2 linked regions of the Danio rerio genome follow. The protein of the gene in region 2 purifies or fractionates together with the protein of the main gene of each other region. This does not show direct contact. Links are inferred from orthologs where the notes say so. Each region holds a gene or a part of one and is shown on either strand. Other genes may lie near its edges.

What was found.
Region 1: the proteins of ryk (region 2) and pcdh7b purify together in Homo sapiens (affinity purification with mass spectrometry; 3 studies listed by BioGRID and IntAct, with this or other methods). This does not show direct contact. The link is inferred for Danio rerio from reciprocal best matches to the Homo sapiens genes RYK and PCDH7.

What each region holds. Positions count from the first base shown.
Region 1 is NC_133182.1:66,390,089-66,394,511, reverse strand, and holds the start of pcdh7b (protocadherin-7b), read right to left. Parts: upstream 3,104-4,423; 5' UTR 2,311-3,103; coding exon 1-2,310.
Region 2 is NC_133181.1:30,101,033-30,104,464, reverse strand, and holds the end of ryk (tyrosine-protein kinase RYK precursor), read right to left. Parts: intron 2,566-3,432; coding exon 2,429-2,565; intron 1,773-2,428; coding exon 1,661-1,772; 3' UTR 671-1,660; downstream 1-670. UniProt on the Homo sapiens protein: May be a coreceptor along with FZD8 of Wnt proteins, such as WNT1, WNT3, WNT3A and WNT5A. Involved in neuron differentiation, axon guidance, corpus callosum establishment and neurite outgrowth.

The sequences.
Region 1 (4,423 bases), on a different chromosome or scaffold from region 2:
TCCTGTCCATGCATCCATGTCAAACAGTTTAAACGGGTTGCCGCCAACAATCCTGTAGCTAAGGTTAGCATTAACACCTGTATCAGTATCAGTGGCAGAGACCGTTCTGACCACTGTCCTTATGTTGCTAGAGGGTGGGAGCAGCGTGTATGAGTTATTCATTGGAAAAAGAACAGTGGGAGGATTGTCATTTACATCCATTACAGAGAGAGATACCGTGGCCGTAGCAGACCGAGGTGGATCGCCACCATCAACAGCTTTGACACGGAATGAATAATTGTTTCTTTGCTCACGATCAAAAGCCATGTTTGAGAAAATGGTACCTGTGTTGTTGTCAATGGAGAAAATGTTCTCCTCCTCCTCAATGTACAGACTCATATCTGCATTTTGCCCTTTGTCAGCGTCCATGACTGTAATCATGCCAACAGGACTGTTGGGTTGAAGGTTTTCCTGTATATAGAAAGTGAACACATCCTGCATGAACTTTGGCTCATTGTCATTTTTATCTGCCACCAAAACTACCACCGTGGCTGAGCCCTGCAGAACTGGCATGCCTTTGTCTTTGGCGATAACTTTGAACTCATATCGTTCCGTCTGCTCCCTGTCAAGTATGGTGTTGACACGGATGTCACCTGTGTCTGCATCAATTGAAAATATTCCGTTCACAGAGGAGTCCAGGGAGTAGGAGATTTCAGCATTTTTGCCACTGTCTGCATCTAAGGCCACTACTGTGACAACACGCTCACCGGGAGCATTGTTTTCAGGAAATGAAACCTCCACTGTGCTTTTGCTAAAAACTGGTGGATTGTCATTCATGTCCCCCACCTTCACTATTAGTGAATTGTTGCTAGAAAGACTAGGGCTCCCAGAGTCCACGGCAACAATGACCACGTTATACTCCTGCACGGCTTCATAATCAAGTGGTGCTGATGTGTGGAGAAAGTACTTCTTTTTATTCATGTCACCTTCGACCTCGCTGGCAGGTTTCAGCTGAAAAGGAACATCACCCACTACAGTGCATGTCACTATACCGTTTGGTCCTTTATCTCTGTCTGACACTTGCACGAGAGCAATGGGTGTATCGACAATCACATCCTCTGCCACATTAGCCACGCCGTCTTTCAGAAAGATGCGTCCAATTTTTCGGATGTCAATATTTGGGACATTGTCATTTTCATCTTTGATGTTTATGATCACTGTCGCCTTGTCAGTTTTAGGAGGCTGACCACGGTCACGTGCCATGACTGTGAAACGAAGCTGGCTCACATCTTCACGATCAATTCGGTGCAAAACACTGAGCCAGCCAGTGCTCTCATCAAGCCGCAGCAGTCGTCGCACTGACTCTGTGGCTGCTCCGAAAACATACTCGATCTGTCCATTAACACCAACGTCAGTGTCACCTGCCTTTAGCTGGAGTATGGGGGCACCTGGGGAACTGTTTTCTGGTAGGTCTGCCTCATAAACACTTTTCTCAAAGCGTGGGGTGTTATCATTTACATCTGTGATCATTACTCTCAGAATGGCTTGGGAGGAGCGTGGGGGGTCGCCCCCATCTCTAACCCGCAGAGTCAGCTCATAGGAGTCGCGCTGTTCTCTGTCCAGAGCCCCTTTGATAATTAGCTGCGGCTGCTTCTCGCCGTCTGTGGTGTCAGCAACTTGAAGTTCAAAGACGCTGCTACGGCTTGCTCCCTCGTCGAACCTCCGCTTGCCCGAGTGACTGTCAACACTGCCCGAGCCGGAAGTGCCGATTCGCCTGACAGTGCTCTCGCCGTTGTCCTGAATTAACTCGTATCGCTCAATTCCATTCCGACCAAAATCTCTGTCGGTGGCAGTGGGCAGGAGATAAAGTGTGCCAATGGGTCGGTTCTCTTCAACGGAGAGCGTGAGAACAGGTGAGGGGAAAGACGGCGTGTTGTCGTTAATGTCTAAAATAATCACTTTGCCTTCGAAGAGATCAACCCAGCTCTGCGCGGGTCCTATCACAGACACTTCGAAATCTATAAAACATTCGTTCTCATCAAAAATCATTTGACACTGCGGCAGCTTTTCGCGGTCTATTCGCCGCTCGTTTGTGCTGAGGTCTCCGGTCATGTTATCGATTTTGAAGTACTCGGAGCCTGATTCTAATGTAAAAGTCACGTCCATGCCTGCCGTGATGCCGAGGTCCGCGGCTACATTACCTACCCGGACATCGGCAGGACCCTCCTCAGCCAGGCGGTACCGGAGCACTTGCTTGGCTGCGGGCTGACTCAGCAGCTGCAGAATAAGAAAGCAGTAGCTTAAATAGTCCACAATGCCTGTAGTCCTCATAGCTCCTGGCGGCTTTTCCAGCAAAACTGAACGTGAATTCTGTTTAACAGCTTTTTCTTGCTTGTGTTAACGCGCCTGTCTCACTGCATGCGTTTTCACAACCGGGCACCTCTATGTGGTAACCAAACTAGCGCATATCTGTTTTTTTCCCCCGCTCAGACTAGACTCGCGCAATTCCTCTTTTTTTATAAATAGGTTTTTCTCTCAAACATATACACAGCACTGACAGAAAGTCTTCACAAATTCATTCAGTATTAAGCTTGAAATAAACATGCCATAAATTACTTGCTGAGACTACTCCGTGTTTGCCATGACTTGACATCGCCGAGTCTTCATTAAAATCATCGAAGCCAGATATTCAATCCATTGCGCAATCAACTGATGAGGTTTTAAATCCAGCCTTCCCAAATGCGAACTCTCCTCTCCAGATGATATCCCACCATACGGAATAGAAACTGAAATATCAGAACTTCATGTGCTGTGGTTATAAGCCGCAAAAGATCTGTGCTATCCGTGTGCCGTGTCCGCGCGCACAGATTTCTCCAGTCCACTCAGCGTCTAATAGTTCTCTCACTTGCACCAGAGAGCGAAAAAAAAATGGGGAAAATCTCCGCAGTGCCGTTCAGCGTTAAGGCAAAATGCAAAACTGAACAATAACGGAGTTATAATCCTGGCAGAGATGCTAGGAATGTGGTATTAAAATTCCAGCGCGAGGACGGTTCCTCTGTCCAGCGCGCGCCTCTCACCTGCAGCAGAAGCGCGTGTGTATATGCCGCACTCTGCGCTCGAGTCTCTCTCTCTTTCTTTCTCTCTCTCTCTCCCTCTCTCTCCACCCCCTTCACGCTGCGCTCCCTGTGCGACAAACAAAGCTCAACTTGATCGCTTAGTTTTACTGTTTGAGGAGGGTCTCTTCCTTTTGGTTCAGAAGGGCATTTTTTATTGCAAGAAGAAAGTACATAAATAATTTATTGTCCAGAAATGAACATTTATAGAGTGTTTGGTGGTTCACTGTGTTCGAAATCTTAAATGCCTCCCAAAAGGGGCTCGACTTTGTAAAGGGAATCACATTCTGCTGAGTGCTTGGGTGTTGCGCAAAGTAAAACTGGTTAGTCAACCGTCAGCTATCTGAAATATGCCTGCATTACGTTTACGGTGTGCAGCTCTATAGTAAAGTCATTAAATGACATTACTTACGTTTTGTCGATGGCACTAAAGCGTAACGGAACTGTTGCTATGGTTACATCCTTATTCAAACACGATTTCTTTAAGCAGGAGTAGAATATTTAGACTGGTTTGTCTTCAAACTTTAGGGAAACATTCTATCTGGAAGGCGTTTTTTTTAAGAATGCAGTGCACAAGTCATAGGTCTTAAATGGGATAGCACGTCATAGAAGTGGTGCGTTTGATAGATTAATGATAGGCCTATATATTAACGCGTCAGCACTTTCCATCTCGTGTTACAACACAAATGCATTCACCTTAAAAAACTTTATAAAATGTTATAAACAAGATAACCTTATGTTATCAAATTAAAACAAACAGAAAAGGTGAGGAAACTGTAAAATATATGTTTGTTTACACCCCTGGCTCCGTGCATAACAGTACCCTATTCATTATGCCACTCCGTACAAGTCAGATCATCTCGGTTTCAGAGCCCCTTGCGGCTTCTCGGTCTGTTAGAATTTAAATGCGTGTGGTCGTTTGTGGTGAGAACATTTCTTTGTCACGAATATGTATGCGATGAGCACTTCTACTACTTCACACTCATGCTCCTCCATCTGCTATGGGCTTTTTTTGCGCAGAAAAGGCACCACGGACAGCGACGCGCCGTTGACTCACCGGTGTAAAGGAGTGAGAGAGCGAGCGCGGCGACTCTCCGTGACCAGAACTCTGATGGAGACCATCAAGCGCACAGCAAAGAGCTACGATTTTATATACATCGCATAGTTAGTAACTTGCGCGTTCCAAAGCTAAAATCATTTCTTCATTAAACATAAATCGACAGTGTGCATGACATTTAAGAATATATTTTCTGCACTATGCCTGTTTATGAAAGTTCATGTTTCAAGGGATGTGCGTTTTTTTTTTTTTTTACTCCACTGAAGTGTGGCTG
Region 2 (3,432 bases):
TTTTCATGTTCTTTGGGGGTGGGGGGTCAAGCATTAATTAGGGGAAACCCCCCTGTAATTCGCACCCTGCTTCTATGTAATGCATGGAAAATGACTGGTGCTAACTAAGCTACAAAATAACCATCATTATAGAACAAATAAGTTTGTACAAATTTGTAATCCTCCGACACACAAATTACTGATGACCTTTTGGCTGCTCTTTTTAGATAAACATTTGCACAATGTTATTACGCATTAAAGTACAACACTTAAATCATCATACTAGAGTAGAGGCCAAAACAAAATGATGGTTTCAGCTTATCAGTAAAATAAAAATGCTTTCATTGCATCACGCGGTGGAACAAAGTTTCTAGTGTCAAAAAAATGGATTTAGGGTACAAAAAACATTACATTTTTTAAAAGGTTTTGCGAACAGATGACAAAACTGTCTGCAAAAGCTGCATTACACATGCCAGACTAGTAGTTGGTGATTAAACGTATTAAAGAAACACTATGCTCCCTTACACATTGTTTGTCAAGTAATCCAGCATGACAAACAGTCACAATGTCCCTTTAAAATGTCACAGGTTTTTAACAAAATCACGTTTCTGTAGTCAATAATGGTACCACTTTCAAAAACATGTAAATGAACACCTAAAAGTGTTAAATCATGCATCAAAAGACACCAACAGCCAACACAGAGATCTCGTTTTATTTAGAGGCCTCATTTAATCGATAGGTATGAATTCAGTTTACACAAAAACCTTTTAAAAAAGTCAACATGCGGTGATCACAAGGATAGAAAGAAGAGCCTATAGATTCAGAACAAAAGATTGGAGAATGGTGTCTAGGCCATACATGTCAAATATTCACAGTGACTCATGTTTCTTTTCTTGTCCATGTATTCATACAGTTTTAAACGTACAAGGAAGGCATTGTTCTGACACAGAACAGTCAAACATCAAAAGCTTTAGGAATTTTGAAAAAAAAAAACCCTGTACCAAAGTCCAGTTGACTTGCAGGATCCCAACGCACTGCTCCACACCTCCACGACTATCTCATAATTTAAGGAGGTAAACCTGTAAGGACTCTATCATCTTTAGTTCCGAAAGGAAAAGCTGTCATTTGTTTAACATCTAGTTTACGTACCAATTGCCGTGTCCTGGATGAGGCCTTTTTTTCAGTATATATTTAAGGAAGTGGAGACCTGTTCTCTCACAAAGTGGTCTAAAAAAACAAACAAATAAATGCAGGACATAACGCAGCGGAGATACGTTCCTCTCGCTGAAGTCTCTGAAAACATATTATGCACAAATTACTTCGAGCAATATTTTAAAATGTCCAAAAGGAAATTTCCAAACTTTTAGGTCAGTTTCTTGTCACTTCTATTGTTAGGAGGCATCTTTTGTGAAACAGCAGCTTCCTGTGGACACCCTAAAACCAGCATTCCAAACAAATCTGGCTGTTTGAGAATCAGAAATAGTCCTTGTTATTTCACACAGCTGTGATATACAAATGATACTGACCTCCGAAGCTACATCGTCCAAAACAAAAGCGCGTTTCATATCGCATGAAGTACAAACACTTTATAAAATGGCTAGTTTCGTATAAAGTAAGGCACTGCGTTTACTTTTATTCTCTGGAATAGTGCTGATCAACAACTCGGCTGGTTTGGGCCAGTTTACACGTAGGCCCCCAAAGCTGCGTGGAACTCGGTGAGGCATTGGACGAGCTGCTGGAATTTTGGTCTCTCTTCCGGATCCAAGGCCCAGCAACACGCCATCACTGCAAATCTGAAACGGAGAACATCCTCATATAAACAAAGCATTATGTTTTGTTTTGCTGTGGCAGATTTATCAGAGAATAAATAACTGGGTCCACAAGATGTATTGGTCTTGATTACGTTTGACAGCAACAATGGAGTGAAAGTTGAGATCACCTTATCACTCAGTTTCTATTCCAGCTTTCCAACACACAAGGCAAGCCGCAGAACACTTATTCATCGCTTGGTCTCTGGAGGGAAAGTGTGCTAAGCTACGATCCAACACTGATTAGCTTTTCCTGCGTCGTCTAAACTATGTTCCGGTGCTCACGCGCGAGACAATAAATCGTGCTCTGTTTGGGTCACTGACACGGTCAACAACACTTGTTGCTTTGTAATTCCTGGCCGGTTCGATCACCACGGCTCCGGTTGCCTAGCTATTGCAGGATGCCGATAAGGGTCAGATTGTGCAGGCAGCCAGCAGTTGTTGAACTTGGATCAATCTGTCCGTTTCATTTTCTAACAGTTGGGTTGGTTCCCTTACAAAGTAATCAAGACTTATGAAAGCTGTTACTGACACTTTGGGAGTCTTGCCAGTCACGCAGTAATGCAATAGTTTGTTCATTTTAAAATAATTGGCAATCCAGTACGTGCACACCAAGTTAAAAATTAAATTGTCATACTCACAGTTCATCGGGGCAGTTGATGGGTTGTGCTATTCTGTAACCATCTTTTAGATAGGCGGCCATCTCGAAGGGGTCAATGTCAACGTAAGGAGTCTGTCCCAAAGTCATCAACTCCCATAGAGTTACTCCGAAAGCCCACTGTAAGAAAACATCACACAAGAGTTCAGGCAAGGCGCAATAAGGCACAATGACTTAAAAAGAAAGAGGATTCCTCTCTTTAACAAGTGATGTAAACACTCGAGGCAGACGTTTAGGAAAAAGTCTGTTGTGTGCTTACAGGTCCTTATACTGTACATAAACACAGAAGATAAGAAGATTCCAATCTTTATATTGGGCTTATGGGAAGTTTCTTGTAATGAGCAAACTTTAAATAAAATTGAAAATATAGATAAGTATATATATAGAAGTTATATTTATTTTCTGAATTAATGTATGCGTTTTAACTATTTTCTATTATTCAATATAAATGTCACTAAAATATAAACACACCTTTTACCCACAGCACATAAAGTCAACTATATGCGATAAAAAAATAAAATAAAAATTCTTTCATTCTTTCATTTTCCTTCGGCTTAGTCCTTTGAACAAACCGCCAACCTTTCCAGCATGCTTTACACAGTGCATGCCCTTCCAGTTGCAATCCAGTACTGGGAAACATCCATACTATTTTACACACATACACTACGGCCGATTTACCTTATTCAATTCACCTATACTGCATGTGTTTGGACTGTGGGGGAAACCAGAGCACCAGTAAAAAATCCAGGCAAACACGAGGAGAACATGCAAACTCCACACAGAAATACCAACTGACCCAGCCGGAACTCAACCTAGCGACCTACTTCCAATAAGGCGACAGTGCTAACCACTGAGCCACCGTGTCGCCCATGTGATTTTTAACTTTTAACTTTTATTTATTATGACAGTTATACCCTGTTTCTTTTATATATATATAAAAAGCTATTGAAATTAAAAATACATTTTTTAAGAATTTGATGCTATTTA